Caenorhabditis elegans: one gene and its partner. The protein of the gene in region 1 interacts with the protein of each later gene in a pairwise test. Each region holds a gene or a part of one and is shown on either strand. Other genes may lie near its edges.

Region 1 (6,820 bases):
CCTAAAAAAAGATATAATTTTCTAACGCTTAATTATTGCTTTAAAGGTTTTCAAGTTTTTCATTGTTTGTTAATTCCACTATTATTCATTTGCTAATATTTTAAAATGAAAATAGGTGTACGCCTTTAAATAGTACTGTATGTTCCGAGCTCTCGTTGCTGCGGAGGTTTCATTTATTTTGAGCACGTTCAACTTGTTTCGATAGAAATATTTATTTAATGAAAAAAATAAAAGAAACATGAAATTTGAAAACGTAATTTTTTTAAGAAATGGGGCAAAACCGCAATAATCAAATAAAAACGAGAGGTTGCGGGGCTGTGCTGCAACGGCAAACGGCGAATGCCGTTCGCCAAAAAAGTTAGTCGAAAGATGGGCGAACGCCGAAAAATGTTCGGCATTTTTCGGCATTTGTCAAAAATGTTTTTTTTTCTAATTTGATCGAATATTCAAGTTTTTCACATTCATCCGTTGAAACATAAATCTACAAACATTGTAGTCATAAAAACACAATCAAAGGACATCTCTGTGTCTCTTGTATCCGAACACTCCCAAGTCACCTGTAAACATTTCTAAAACTTCCCAAAAATCAACATATTTGAATTATTAGCCATATTCTTTTAGTCGCCGCATCGTCACCCCATCATAAAACCGTCAAAGATGTTGTCTATGACTGTTCACGTGTACAATTGTTTTGAATCAATCTTGCCTCTGGGATCCTTTTTGACTATCCCACAGTCTGGTCGTTTAAATATGAAATTGATTTTTGCTTTAAAATTCAAACCTCCTTATCAAACTTTGGAATTGTACTATTTAGATTTAGAAAATGCAAGAAAAAACAACAAAACATCAACAACTTTAAGAATGCGAAAAAGAAGTGCCGAAAAATGCCGAAAAAACTAAGTTTTTCGGAAAACGGCAAATGTCGATCGCCGAAAAAAAATTATGAGTCGCAGAACGGCAAATGCCAGACATAGAAAAATTAGACAAAAAAAGAATAGCTAGGTGGGGCAAGTTATAAATATTATTTTTGACATTAGCATCGCTCTGGCGCTAATTAACTTGAAAAGGTGTTTGTCCGATCAAATATTAGTTTTTAAACTGTTTTAATCAAACGCATTCGTGAGACCCGTCGAAAAATATGTAGGTGCCTTTAAAGGGAGTTTTCAGTTTTCCACGATATCCAATAACAACCGTTTGTTAAACTCCTGTTGTGCATAAATAGTTTTTTTTTCTCTACTGATAACGACTTTGGAATTATGTGGGGTATATGTGTGTTGTTAAAAATTAAGTGATAAGAAAACTTCCAATTGATTTTTTTTTCGATTTTTCATTTTAGGTTTAAATAAAATTTTGAACAATGCTCAGAAATTATGGTGAATTCTTGAAAACGTGAAACAACTATAATCGTAACAACCTTTTTAATATTGGTAAATTGGTGACAAATGTCTAAAAGATAATGTGTTTTACAATAAGTGGGTGTAGAAAAATTATGAAAAAGTAAGCTTAGAAAAATTTGTTTCAAAAATTTCCTTTTCATATTTGAATTGGAAGTCATAGATTTTGTATGATTTATTCACTTTGCTCAAATTTTTTTCTTTCTTTGATTATACATTTTCTTGGTTTTTCTTGAGTTTTTTTTTTCAAAACATACCTATTTGTTTCGACAACAAACACCTCTTTTTGTGAAAGTTTTTATACCACAAGTAAATAATTTAGAGAAGTTTACTTTTTTTTATTTTTGTATGAGTAGATGAATCAATCAGCTACCAAAATCTAATATAAAATCTTGCCAAAGACCTCTGAAAATCTGTAAAATTCGCTCTTAAAATGAAAATGAAAATAAAGCTATGAAAACGGGAGAGAGTGTTGAAAAGCGTGAGACGAAGAGAAACATTCTCAGAGCGAATTTTTCAGAATTCTAGAGGGAGGTCTTTGGCAAAATTTTATATTAGATTCTGGTAGCTGATTACTTCATCTACTCGTACAAAAAAAAAGTACTTAGTTTTTTATGTTATAACTTTAAAAAATTTATTGAAACATTTCAGTTCCGTCAAAAATGCATTCAGAGGAGAAATACTTGCACATTCCGAACAACACGAAATACCCTGAAATTATTGTAGAAGAAGAAGAAGAAGATCCATCAGAGGAAGAACGTTCCGAGTTGTCAGAGACAGATGATGTGGCAACTCCACTGCGCCCTTCAGACACATTTCCATTCAAACGACGGAATTCTCCATGTTCGATAAAAATGAGCGAAGAACATCTGAAAAGACTCAGAGAAATTGCGTGTCCATCTCCAACTCCAACTCAATGCAGTACAGTTTCTAAGCACGAATTTCAGAATTGGAGGATTAATGAAGATGTCATGAAAGATATGATGCATATCGGTGAGCGTTCAGATTTGTTTAAAAAAAACTGATGCTGGCAGTATTTATTAATGGTAAAATCACCAAAATTATTATAATTTTTGAGACGATTTCAAAACATTTTCTAAAAAATCTAATATCCTGGGGCAGTTCTTGGTGGTGGGCAATGATCGCAGGCTCCTTGTCCTCCATCCCCTCCATCGTTTCCTGGTTGTCCTGCTGATCCTGGCTGTCCTGGCGCTCCTGGAGCTCCAGCATCTCCTTGTGGTCCTGGTTGTCCTGGTTGAGCGTGTCCGGCTTGACCTGGCTGTCCTGGAGCTCCGGCTGGTCCAGCTGGTCCTGGTGGTCCAGCTGGTCCTGGAGTTCCTGGAACATCAACAACGTGTCCTGGAGCACCTGGGGCTCCAGCGTTTCCGTTGGATCCTGGCTGTCCGGATGGTCCTGGTGGTCCAGCTGGTCCTGGTGGTCCTGGAAGAGACGCTCCTCCACTACGGCCTGGCTGTCCTGGAGCACCCGATGGACCCTTTTGTCCTGGAGCGCCCGATGGTCCTGGTGGTCCAGCTGGGCAGTCAAAACAGAATGAGTCTGGCCCGGCTGGCTGGTTGTCTTGAGCATCTTGTCCTGGGTTTCCTGGGGCTCCTGGAGCTCCATCGTTTCCTGGTGCTCCGTCTTGTCCCGGAGATCCGGCTGGCCCTGCGCTTCCAACTCCACAAGAGCAACAAGATCCTCCTCCACTTCCCCCTGATGAGAATCCTCCGGAAGCTCCAGAATCTCCGTAAGATTGCCGACGTTGCTTAGCATGGTACTTGCGCTCGTAAACATTACGCTTGATGCGTCCTTCGACTCCAGCTACTCCTTCGAACTGAAAAGATATGTCTATGGATTTGATATTTTCAGAGAAAAACTGCTTCAATAAAACTAAACGTACTCTCTTGTACTCATCCCAAAGACCGTTTGAACGATGAGCACAAAACTCGACTTCGGATTGGAGGGATGATTGGACGTGTTGTATATAGTTGTACAGCATTGGAACAGCCACAATTGCGATAAGTGTGGCGATAGTAGACACGGCGATTCCGAAGAATGCAACCTTGCGAAGGGACTCTGTCTCGTATGAGACTTGTTTTGGATCGTCCGATGTCATTCTGCAATTTTAGAAAATCCTTTATAATCCTTCCGAGTAATAACGTTAACATACTAATCATCACTCAACAATTAGAATGGGTCCAAATAGAAAAATAAACTTACATTACTGTAGGAGACTGGACAACAAAGTCAAGTACCATTCTGGTCTCACCATCTACTCCTTTTATACCGAAATTCACTGTCTCCCATCAGAAGACACGGAAGCCAACCAGCTGAACCAGGAACTTTGACACGTCTGCGTCTCTCGCGTGCCCTGGGAAACCGAAAAAGTAATGATATCTTGATGTGAAGGTCGCTACTGTGTTTCTCTGTCGTTATGCCATGCCGAGAAAAACATACGGTTTCCACAGATTAGTCCAAAAAACTTCCGCAATTTTGAGAAATTTAGAGGGTGGAGGATAGACAGTAAGGAAGTTGTTATTCAACTATTGAAGCTATTGCTTTGGTGTTCGGTGTTCAATTGATTTCTTTTAGAGGATCGTAGTCTTTTGAAAGTTGGAAAAGATGAGGCCCACGAAAAGGGGAAATGCGAAAAGGGGAATTAGCTCTGTCGACGCACAAAACGCTTTCTTCTCATTCAACGCGCGTTGTTTTTTGAAAATTCCTTCTGAAAAACACGCTAAACAACGCGCGGTGCGTAATTTCTTAACATCGTTGTATCGTTTTCTTCAGGAAAATTAGCGTTTTGTGCGTTGGCACTGTGCCAATTCCCCTTTTCGTCTTTCCCCTTTTCGTTCAGTTTCCCTTTTCGTGGGGCCTCAAAAAGATGAAGAATTTCACGAATTTGAATTCTGAACAAAGAACTAGCCTTTTTCAATGGATTATTTAAGAAACATAAAGTCGCTTTTCTAACTCTTCTCGATCATCTGTTCAGGATTTTACTTTAAAATGCGAAAACTGAACCTAGATGACAAAATACCACAAAAGAAAAACAAAAAAAAAATCCATTAAGTTTGAAAAAAATCGGTTGATTTTGGCTAATTATTTTCAATTTTGACTTGTCTCCTCATTTGAATTACCGCGCTTTAAAAAGATGTTGCGCGTCGGAAATAAAGAAAATAGCGCGGATGCAGATCTACGAAATGCGGCGCGGACAAAAGCGCGGTAATTTAAACGAGGAGATTAGTCACAATTGAAAATTAGCCAAAATCAAACAATTTTCAAACTTGATGGATTGTAGCCCATTTTAAAGTAAAATCCCCATTCACGCTCTTCACCTTTAACGTTCTACAATATTTTCTGGTGTAGCTCTTTGACTGTTTTGACTCTTTATAATTTTTGATGTGTTTTCCTGACTCAATTGAACACTTCAACTTTCTTATCACTTTTCCCTATTACTTCAAACCAGTTTTCAAAAAATGTTTGAATTTTCTGTCTTGTCGAAATTTTTTTTTTTGCAACAAAATCCGATGTCAGAACACAAGTTTGAATTGAAAAGGGAGTGGTTTCCCTCCGATTCCGTTCCTAATCACTCTGTATTTCAGGTACAATATGTGAACGAGAAAATGTTTGTAAAACGTCAAAATATGTTTATACAGCAACAATGGCTAGTTATACAGTTACGGAATGGAAGTTGAAGGAAGGAAATACGGTAGGAAAAAGACGACAACAAACAGTTAATCGAAAAAACAAATTACAAATTACAGCCAGATGAAATTGAAAAAATCTCTCGTACAATTGAAGATCTGTGCCAACTCCGTCACAAACGATTAGCTCCGATGTACGGATACCACTGGAGACTGGAAACCGAACTTATGGTGTTCAGAGCCCATGTACCATCAGGGACAGTTGCTGATTTGGTAAAGGTATCAGCGATTCCACAAGTCAGTTGAGAAATGTTAACTTATATCTATGTTACATGGATTTTAGGAAACTGCCGTGCGTTATATTGTTCATGTAATTGATGCACTGGCATATCTACACGAGAGAAAACATGTGCATGGTAAACTTAATGGTAAGTGCAAATTGTAAATATCTGAATTGACCACATTTATCTTAGCTTCCAATCTCCTTCTAACTATTTCAAATGACATTCTACTGGCGGATCCTTTTATTGAAGGTCTCCCAAGTGCTCAAAAACGTCGTGCCCTTCTAGCCTCACCACCAGAAGCGTTCCGGTCATTAGAGTCCTATCCATGTCTGACACCATCATCAGATATCTGGTCAGTCGGATGTGTTCTTGTCACGATGCTCACTCGATATCCTCCATTTTTGGAGCATTACATGCATTTTCACGGAGAGAGCTTGCATAGAGTTAGATTTCAAGCAGTGATTAAAAATTAATCGAGTAATTTAGGAGCTGGTTTCTGAATGGTGTACCCGTCGTCAATTGATATACTCTTCCCAAACTTTAATTCCATCGGCATCGAAAGAAATTTGTGAACTTATTGATCAAATATTTAACGTCGATCCAGAAAATCGACCATCTGCACAGAATCTCTTGGAATCTCATGGATCAAAATCAAGGAAAGCCTCGTTAAGAAATTCATTGGCTTCACTTACCACAGCTAAAGAGCCAGATCCTCCAAAGCCGATAGATGATTTTTATGTGGAACGGGAGGACGATGAAGAGCATCGAAAAATCGAAGAGTTGAGAGAACTGGCGGAAAGGGGAAATAATGAGGTAAGATTAGACTGAAGGTAGAAAAGTTTTACATTTGAAAATTCCAGGGTGGCTTCATTCCATTTATCCGCTGGTATATGTCCCGAATTCTAATATTTTCTGTTCTCCTAGTCAAATGGATTGGAATGGTGTTATGCGCGGCATTGAGTCTGGCGGCTGTTGCCGGTGGTGTATTTTTTGCAATTTTTTTGATTTACAATGGAATCCAAATTGCGTGCCAGTGCTCATTGAATGAAGGTAAGAAATGAAGGTATATGAAATTCCATATTTAACCTTAGGATTCGTTGTTTTAATTGCTTTGATTCTGCTACCAATTATCATTTTGCTAACTACACTTTGCTGTAATAATTCTCTGGACAGATATCACGCTGATGTGGAAAGTGGAAAAGTGGAAAAGTTTGTTACAATGAAATTCCCACAGAGAATATTAATTTTTAGAAGCCGATTTGTTATGAAAACTCCCGAAAAGGATGTAATTGTTGGAGGATATATACTTGTGGAAGGAAGTCCAGATCATGATAAACCTGCGGAAGTCCCTAGAAAGGTATAGATTTCTGTATATATATATATATATATATATATAATTTTTGTATTATTGATTTGCATGCAAAAATTTTAGGACATCAAAATCAATGTCTAGGCCATTTGAAAATTCTTAAATTTCTTCAAAAATTTGTTTGATTTT
Region 2 (9,798 bases), on another chromosome or scaffold:
AAATGTAGGACTTCCAAGGGAGGCAGGCGCGGTTTCAGGGCCTGATTTTTTGATTCATTTTTTGTCCTATTTTTAGAGTTAGAGTTTTGAGCTTCTTGCTCAGTTTCAAAGAATTTACTATAGTTTTGTAAGTACGCAAACAACATATATCACGGGAACATTGAATTTCGAGAATGCGTACTGGGCACCATATCTGGCGCGCAAAATATCTCGTAGCGAAAACTACAGTGATTCTTTAAATGACTGTCGATTTACCGAAATTTTTTATTAATTAATACAATATTAAAAGAAAGCAAAGAAAATTGAATATCACTGTCACAATTCGAACAGAAATTCGTTGCAAAAATCGAGCGCGTAAATCGACGCTACAGTAGTCATGCAAAGGGTTACTGTAGTTTTCGCTACGAGATATTTTGCGCATCACATATGTTGTGTAGTACGCATTTTCAGAATTTAGTATGCCAAAATATTTACGCTTCTGATGAGTTTTAAAATGCAGAATTGCCAAAAAATTGGCATAAACTAACGGGGCGAAAAAGAGCGCTGATTAAGATTTTTGTGAAAAAAAAGGAATTTTTCGAATTTCCAGCAATCAATTTCCTCGGAACCTTCATTCCAATCGCATTGGTAGAACGTGTGGGTCGTCGTGTGCTTCTCCTTGTCTCAATGATCGGTGTGATTCTTTTCCTGATCGCAATGGGTGTCTCATTCCTTCTAATCAATAATGTGAGATTTTTCTAACTATCAACAATTTTAAATATTTTATTCCGAATTTCCAGGACTCATTGAGAACATTCGATCAACAAAACTACACTTTGAACTACAATCCATCTGTGAAACATGCTGCAAAGTGTCTCAAATATAGTAATTGCGATTTCTGTGTAACTGATGAGAACTGCGGATTTTGCGAGAGCAAGGTTGCTAAAAAAGGTTTTTGCAAGCTGAAATTCATCTAAAACCAATGAAAATTCCAGGATACTGTCTACCATTCCCATCGGATGACTCTAGTGACTACTCTGCCACTGGAATTTGTGAATTCTCGAATTTGACAAACAATGGAACAGATTTCGAGTGGGAAGACACCTATTGTCACACTAAATTCACAGTATTGCCAATTATTATTATGGTCTTTTACCTTTTATCATTCTCTGCAGGTGGGTTTTGTAAATTAAAAGGCAAATGCGCTCCATTGCACCATGCACAATATTCTGGGTCTCGTGGGCGTTTTCAAGAATTTTTTTGGATTTTTGAATTTTTTAAAATGTAAAAATGTGTTTAAAAATAGTTTAGAAATGTAATTTGACATAAAACATCATTAAATTTGAAAATTTGAATTTTTGGGTTTTCCGCCTATTGCGTTAGAGCGCGAATGCACTTAGGATTAAAAAAGCGCAATTTTCAGCGTCGCCATATTATTGCACTCAAAAGCGAAAGTTTGGGTCTTGACGCGACAAATTCGTGTTAAACGCAAAAAGGTGTGCGCCTTTAAAGCGTACTGTAGAATTTTTAACGATTTTTCATACTCAATTATTTACTCGACGATGGTATTTGTTTTTATTAAAAGACTATGAAAAACTACAAAAAAAATGGAAAAATTGAAAATTCCACATCAACAAAAATTTGAAGCTACAGTACTCTTTAAAGGCGCACGCCTTTTTTGCATTTAACATAAATTTGTCGTGTCGAGACCGAAGATAAAGTGGAAATGCGCTCCAACGCTAAAACCGAGAAATTCAAATTTTTCAATGCATTTCACACATTTTTAAAACTAGCTTTTACAAAAAAGTTATCGAAAAAATGCCTGAAAACGGCCAAAATGAGAGATAAGGCACGAATTTACGGCTTTGCCTCCAACTCCTACCGAGACCCAAATAGTTCGTTGGAGCGCGATTGCACTTCAAAACTTCAAACTTCAAAATGCTTAATAATTCATCAATTCACGTAATTCCAGGTTACGCCCCGCTACCATGGGTTCTAAACGCCGAATTTTATCCATTATGGGCGAGAAGTACAGCCGTATCGGTATCAACTGCATGCAATTGGATATTTAATTTAATAGTCTCACTGACATTCCTGTCACTTTCCCAGGCAGCAACAAAATATGGAACATTCTTCATTTATTGTGGATGCACCATGGTTGCTCTTGTATTCGTTTTCTTCTTTGTTCCAGAAACAAAAGGATATTCAATTGATGAAGTTGAGATGTTATTCATGACAAAAGAAGAGAGAAGGAAAGCTCAGAAAGTTCTGGATGAGAGTAAAGAAGGGAAGCATCGGAATTCTGTTGCAATGTCTTTTGATACTAAATTCTAATTGTTTTCCTAATTTGCAAGCTTTAATTACTGTTTAAACATGTTTCAACAGTTATTCATGTATAATATTTTGTAATTGTGAATAATAAACTATTTTTATATTCCTAAAAACAAAAAAAAATCCAACAAAAAAATTTCAACAATCTTTAAAAAAACGTTTCGACGTCGAGTCATCCATCAGCACCTTCTTCCTCTCACGAACGAAATTTCCACGATCATCGACACGTGGTGAGGTGACGTTATGGCGGACGTTATAGGCAGAATATGGATCATTTGGATAATGCTTTGGACGGAGCCAATATGGAGTCATCAGTTTGTCGAGAATTTCGCACTGTTCCTGAAAATTGAATCATTTTATGAAAAAGTTGGGGAAATTGACGAATTTGACGATGAATTTAGCTTTCTAATTCCTGAAAAAAAAACCCGAAAAATTGTACCTTGGTACAGGTCTCATAATAAAGACTAGTCTTCTGCCACGTTTCATCTTTCATATATCTCAGCTTATGACGTCCTGGATGCGCGTGAATCCACATTCCATTGTTTAGACGTTTGAATCTGAAAATTTTCAGTTTTAAAAATTAGTTTCGCATTTTTAAGTTCAAAAAATCAATAATTATTGAATTAAATTTTTTAATAAGCTAATAAATAGCGTTACCTGTCTAAAACATCTTGCGCCGGCCGTTTCCGTCCGACTTTCTGATCGAATCGAATGTGATACTCGTGAGCCGGAATATTGGCGATTCCACGGGCGGCCAATGTGATCGGAGCCTGTCTTGATGCACATAATGTGCTCAACGCCGTTTTTCCCAACATTTTTTTGGCTGAAAATAAAAAGTAAAGGTAAATTTCATGTGAAATTGAGAAAAAATCAGGAAAAAAATTGATACAAAATAAAAATTGAATTTTCAAAGCGACTACGGTCAGCATTCGGTGTATGCACACTTTTCTCTCGCGTCTCTCCATTTCACACACTCTCTCGTGGCGCAATTTTTTTTTTGAGAAAAAAGAAAACAATAAAGAGAGTAAACAACAAAGTTGGACAGAATTCTATATAATTTTTATTTATTTCGGGTTTTTTTCAGTGATATTTATCGTTTTCGTTATCGATTTTATTGCCGATCACTCGTTTTTCGTTGCGTCATGGTAATTTTATCTTTAAAAATCTAAGAAAACACATTTTATTTAAATTTTTTTATAAGATTTCAATATTTCAGATGTCCTCAGAAGGCATAGAGCGCTATTTTGGCGCCGGCGACAGTGAACAACGAACAGCACTTCAATTTGCGTTTTATAATGTGCTACTTTTTGTTTTGGTACGCTTTAAATTTTAAAAATTAATTTTTAAAATTCAATTAAATTAAATAAAATCTAAAAATTATCAGCTCGGAGTCTCATTATGTGGTCTGGCTGCTCTCTACAACATGATGTACATGTTTTTATCACCAATGCTCTGGGCGGTGCTCGTTGGTACAGTACTTTTCCCGTTCAAAAAGAAGGTCGCAGATACTGTTCAGCGTAAGTTTTCTGGCTAAATTAATTTCAAAATCTTTCAAATAAATTAAAAACTTTACAGATTGGCTAAGAAATCTTCAAAAATCGAATCAAACTCTCGCCAAATCAGTGATTACTCTCCCGTTCACCGGATTCTCCAAAATTTCTGAAAAAATCTACACAACCTTCGCCAGCCCGAATGGAGCTATAATTGTTATAGCCTATACTGCGTTGAAAATTCTTTCATATGAAAGAACTTTTATGTATATTATCAGCTGGATGGGACGACTCTACGGATATTTGGATTCTTTCATTGTTTTCTTTGCGAGACCCTGGGTTCTTCCACTGATTATCGTTTATTTCTGCTGCTACGCCGCCTGGATTTATGTTCAAAACCCGAAAGAGATTAATAAGAAGCTTGCAAGATCATTTTCTCTTCCCATTTGGTAAAAATTCCTAGTTTAAAAATGAAAACAATGAATTAATTTCTTGTTAAAAATTCCAGGATCTACGTAATTTCCTACGCTTCCCTGTATTTCGGACCTCTGAGAGCCGGTGTTTTTGGAGTTTCAGCTGCTGTCCTGGGAATGTTATCAGCCGGATTAATTGGAGGTCATAGACCAAGTGAAGAATTACTTGAGAAAGAAAATTCTTCTGAAAATCTAGATGAATCCATTCTTCCTCCAAACGTGGAGAAAGTTCTGGAAACTGCGAAAGAAAAATGTGAGTTTCTAGGAAACCGCAATTTCGGGTGAAAAACATTATTTTTGCATTTTAAAACCCTTTTTTTCTATTTAAAAGTGCCAAAAATGTAGAAAAAAAACATTAATTTTTGAATTTTTCGATCAAAAAAGCCGAAGCGTTGCGAAACCACGCGCGTAAATGAGTCGATGTCCCTTTAAGATTTGTGTAGATTTACGCTTGATTTTTAGGCAGAATTCTTGATTTTGGTTTATTTTTCTTGAATTAAACGCCTAGAATAGCTTATTTAAAGCCACTTTTTATCTAAAAATCAGTTATTTAAAATTTTTTGCAGGAAAAATTCTGAAAAATGGCCAAAAACTGTGCCGCAGGCTTACAAAACGACCGCCGGCATCTTTTTAATGTTAGAAATCTGTAAAAATTCAATTTTTTATTCTATTAATTTCTAATAATGTTAATTTTCAGTGGACGCAACAGAACAATCGCTTCTCGACAATTCCCTTCTCTCCACATCAACAGTAGACGAAGCTATCACTGGAGACTGGCTAATTCGTTGTGTTTTCGGTCTTTGTGCTCTTCTTTGGGTTGTACGTCATGATGGAGCCCTGATTCTTCTCGCAATTCCATTTGTATTGGCTGTAATCTCCAGAACTGCCGAACAACTTGGAATCACTGCCGCTATCCATAATTTCCTGGATTCCACTTGGCAAAAGATGTCACCATCAGTCACAAAAATCGTGGAGATTACCGTAGCCGGGCCATTACGACAATTTGTGAAAATGTTGTTCTCATCGGATAAATATATTGTTGATACACTACATGATAAGATGGATGTATTGTCATCTGTAATAGTTATGGCTCTTCTCGCATTTTCTGCAATCTTTTCCGTATTCTTCTTTGGATTCCAACTGCATGGAGAAACGGTTCATCTTGTCAGACTTACATCGAATGTGGTGAATTCTCGTCCGGATTGGCTTGCCGCGGCGATGGATTATACGGAGGATCAGTTGGAAGAGAATAATATTGATATTGATGATTATGTTCAGCAGGTGCTGTTTTTTTTTAATTCTTAGAGTTTTTTAATTCTTAGTAGTTTTTTTTCGCTGTTTTTGCAGAGAAAATCGAGAAAAAAAATTTTAAAATATTTTTTTTTATTTAAAAAATTCAATTTTTCTGGAAAAAAGCGAATTTTCCTTATTTTGAAAGGAACATATGAATACATCGGAAAACAAAATTTCTGTAAAAAGTTATTTAAAAAAATATTTTTTTTTCCAAAAATAAATCAATTTTTCAGGAAAAAAAGCTTATTTTTATTTAAAAACAATTTTTAAAGTAAAATGCATATATCCGAATTAAATCACTTTTTCGTAAAAAAAATCAATTTTCCGAAAAATAATTTTTTAAATCGACATTTCCAACAAAAAAACAATAATTTTGCAATTTTCAGGCTTACGAACAAGGCCGTACTTGGTTGGCCTCCAATGTGAGATCCCTGGCGAACGCAAAAGACACAAAAAGAGCCGATATGCTCGAGGAGCAGGTTAAGCAAGTCGTTGATAAACTCTACAATATGTGGGAAGAGAGAAATAATAATTTCACAGTTGGTGGGTTTTTTCAAAATTTTTTTAATTAAATAAAAAAATTTGGAAAAAAGTTCCAGCAGTAAATCAGGAGCCACGCGGTGATGTCTGGACTCAATTGAAGGGGGTCACTGATTTGACAGCACTGAAAGACGAGCTAACACTGATTGTCAAGGAGAATTTGGACACTCTTATGGGGGTTTGAAGGCTTTTTTCTCAATTAAAAAAACTAATTTTAATTTTAAAAAAATTTCAGATCGCCCAATCTATTGGAGCAATTCTTGCCGTAAATGTGTCAATCTTCTCTTCACTTTTGGTCTCTCTCGCCGGAATTATTTTAAGCTTTGGAATGGATTTGCTCAACACATTTATCGAGATGGTACTGAATAATTTCTCTAGATTATTTGAAAATCGATATAAAGTGAATTTCAGATTGTCTTCCTTACAATGGTATATTATCTTCTCTCGGCTTCTCGTACTCGCTGGCTTCCTCTTCAATGGGCTTCTGATCTCTCAGCAGTCACTACAGCCGATGGCTCGTCAGCAGGAAATCAGCATCATATTACTGTAGCGATAGAACATGCGATTTTGTACGTTTTTAGGCTTAAAAATTTAGAAAATCGACTGTAAAGTCCTGAAAAATAGCTTTTTTACGAACAATTTAAATAATTAAATTTTAGGTTAATCTCTGGGTTTTATCGAATTTTCCGTAGAAAAACCTCCAAAATTGGCCTATTTTCCATGTTTTTGGGGAAAAATTTCAGAAAATTCGGCAAAAATAGTCCCATTTGTATGGGAAAAATGAAGTAATGACTTTGCCCGGGTTTGTTGGAAAATTGAAAAATCCATACATTTTGAGTAGTTTCGCCCCATTTTCTATATTTTAATGGGAATTATTATTTAAAAGTTAATTAAAAAATCCTTTTTTCAGCGGAGTATTCGTTCTTTCTGCAAAAATGGCTGTTTTCTACGGTCTCTACACTTATTTTGTGCACAGTCTTTTCGATTTGAACATTGTATTTGTTCCATCAAGTGAGTTGATTTTAAAATTTAATTAATTTTACTAAGTCCCATTTTTCCAGTGGCTGCCACAGTATTCGCTGCTATTCCAATTATGCCTCCCTACATCGTCGCAATCTTCGGAATCGTCGAACTCTGGCTGGTTCGAGGAGAAGGAGCAGCTGCTCTTGTATTCACAGTCGCTTCATTTGCTCCTGTAATGTTCGCAGATGCTACTTTTTACCGGGAAGTTAAGGGATCTCATCCATATGTGACCGGTTTGGCTATCATTGGTGGAATGTACTGGTTGGGATTGCAGGTTTGTGTATTTAACTTCTTCTACTAAAAAAGTACCTCATTTAAATATATTTTCAGGGCGCAATCATAGGACCAATTGTTCTCTGCCTTTGCCTCGTACTTGTCAACGTTTATCTCCAGCACGTGAAGCCAACAGCTCTGTACACCCCAGCTCCGTCTCCACGAAATGTGAAGCTGCATAATCATTGATTATATTAATCAAAAATATTTTTCGCATTCTTTAGACACTGCCTTTAGTTTGTTTGACCCCTGTATTTTACAAATTTCGGTTCTTGCCATTCCTGGTGAACTTTTGTCTCATAATAAACATGTATTTTTTTTCGGATTTCTGTTTATTTTGCTCATTATGGTAACGTGAAAGCCAATTTAAACTATTTTTCCGTTTCAAAAGCGTTTTATCCTTTTTAGAACTCTAGTTATGATCAAAATCACGAATAAACCACGTAAAAAGTCAAAAGGGACCTCACTATTAAGGTTTTTATGAAAATTCCCAAGATTCTGCTGGAAAAATGAGTTAAATTTGATTGTTGAAGTGAAAAAAAATGTTGCGAATGGCCTTGCGGACTACGGTGGATTTTTCTGTGCATACACCGTCACGTCTGATTGCGTATCGTGGCGAGACCCATCGAACCTCAACGCATGGCTTTTTCCGCTATCCTAAAATTTTTTCACGATTTTCGCCTGATTTTTCACGTTTTTGCGCGATTTTTTGCATAAAATTGATTGAATTTTTAATTTTTAAACGATTAATAGTGCTAATTATCGATTGTAGTTCTTATTCTGCGAGATTTGTCAGAAACTAGGTAGGAAAAGTGGAAAAATGTTCCCAAAATCCAAATTTGTCTATTTCTCAACCAGAATTTCAGTTGTAGGGGGTCCCTCTTGATTTTCAACACAAGGAGTTTAATTATTACCGGTAGATTGTTTAAGCATGCTAGCTCGGGTATGGGTCCGTGGACTTGCAGCCACAAAGAAAAAACCGCAAGTTCTCGTCAAAGATGGACCATCGCTTCAGGATTTTATTTCATCAGGTAAAACTCAAACAATATTGTTTCATAATCAAATAATTATTAATTTTAGCATCCGTGGCAGAGGCTGTTGAGAAGTACGAAGGAAAACTGAAGCTGGAGAAAGGGGACAGACGTTTGCGACTTCCACCATGGCTCAAGAAAGAAAAGGTATAGCCTATCAATTTTTTGCCCCTCATCACAATTGTTTTCAGATTCTTCCATCGGAAAACGAAAATGTCAGTCGTCTAAAAAAGCAGTTGAAACATCTCAAACTAGCGACTGTTTGTCAGGAAGCACGGTGCCCAAATCTTGGAGAATGCTGGGGAGGATCAGATGACAGTCTAGCAACAGCGACAATCATGTTGATGGGAGATACCTGCACTCGGGGTTGTAAATTCTGTTCGGTCAAAACTGCTCGAGCTCCTCCACCATTGGATCCTATGGAACCGGAAAATACGTCGACCGCCGTTGCTTCATGGGGTGTCGAATACATTGTTTTAACATCAGTTGACAGGTAACTTATTCGTATCTTGAGCTTTTAATCAAAGTAATTTTCAGGGATGATTTGCCAGACGGTGGAGCCGATCATCTTCGCAAGACAGTACAGCTGATGAAGCTCAAGAAGCCTGAACTTCTCATCGAATGCTTATTGCCCGATTTCGCTGGAGATAAGATCAGTGTGGAGAAAATGGCTACCAGTGGACTCGATGTATATGCACATAACATTGAAACGGTTGAAAGACTGACTCCATGGGTCAGAGATCCACGAGCTAAATATCGGCAGTCTTTGGACGGTAAGCAGCTTTTTTTTTTTTCAGAATCTCGTAAATATTATTGAATATTTTTTAAGCTCTTCGATACGCAAAGGAAGTCAGCCCAAAGCTAATCACGAAGACATCGATTATGCTAGGACTGGGCGAAGCTGAAGACGAGATAAAGCAGTGCTTGGCCGATCTTCGAGCTAGCAATGTTGACGTTGTCACTTTCGGTCAATACATGCAGCCGACAAAACGTCATTTGCTTGTCAAAGAATGGGTGACCCCCGAGAAATTCGACCAGTGGGCAGAATATTCGAAAAAACTGGGATTCCTTTACGTTGCATCTGGCCCTCTTGTTCGCTCTTCGTACAAAGCCGGAGAATTCTATTTGAAAAATGTGTTGAGAAATAGACAAAATTAAGATTACTGAAATATGTAAATATTAGAAGAATTTGTGCGGGATTCTTGCCAAATAAATTCTCGAAATAGTTTTCATATATTTATTGTTATGCGCGTTCTCTCGCTTCGATTTATCTCTCTTCCTTTACTCTCGTGTATTTCTAAACTTTCCCCTTCTTATCAGTATTTATTTCAGGGTAAACGATGGGTCTGTCGAACAGAGCAATCA

Evidence for each region.
Region 2: the proteins of col-101 (region 1) and M01F1.4 interact in a two-hybrid assay, tested with the Caenorhabditis elegans proteins (one large-scale study listed by BioGRID).

The regions. Positions count from the first base shown.
Region 1 is NC_003282.8:323,020-329,839, forward strand, and holds col-101 (Nematode cuticle collagen N-terminal domain-containing protein), read right to left. Parts: upstream 4,002-6,820; 5' UTR 3,653-4,001; coding exon 3,615-3,652; intron 3,512-3,614; coding exon 3,295-3,511; intron 3,229-3,294; coding exon 2,500-3,228; 3' UTR 2,416-2,499; downstream 1-2,415. Other genes in the region: Protein drl-1, read left to right, coding at 2,057-2,387, 4,997-5,103, 5,159-5,335, 5,382-5,466, 5,512-5,765, 5,809-6,135, 6,183-6,372, 6,414-6,531 and 1 more.
Region 2 is NC_003281.10:3,503,572-3,513,369, reverse strand, and holds M01F1.4 (Transmembrane protein 245), read left to right. Parts: upstream 1-3,336; 5' UTR 3,337-3,452; coding exon 3,453-3,455; intron 3,456-3,526; coding exon 3,527-3,625; intron 3,626-3,694; coding exon 3,695-3,827; intron 3,828-3,885; coding exon 3,886-4,249; intron 4,250-4,308; coding exon 4,309-4,526; intron 4,527-4,970; coding exon 4,971-5,554; intron 5,555-5,952; coding exon 5,953-6,109; exon of another isoform or gene 6,110-6,165; coding exon 6,166-6,284; intron 6,285-6,341; coding exon 6,342-6,464; intron 6,465-6,517; coding exon 6,518-6,675; intron 6,676-7,016; coding exon 7,017-7,117; intron 7,118-7,167; coding exon 7,168-7,403; intron 7,404-7,459; coding exon 7,460-7,591; 3' UTR 7,592-7,727; downstream 7,728-9,798. Other genes in the region: Proton myo-inositol cotransporter hmit-1.3, read left to right, coding at 590-726, 780-930, 975-1,154, 1,952-2,313; mrpl-35 (Large ribosomal subunit protein bL35m), read right to left, coding at 2,449-2,649, 2,750-2,867, 2,968-3,125; lias-1 (Lipoyl synthase, mitochondrial), read left to right, coding at 8,334-8,433, 8,483-8,580, 8,625-8,926, 8,971-9,206, 9,263-9,591; rpl-13A (Large ribosomal subunit protein uL13), read left to right, coding at 9,774-9,798.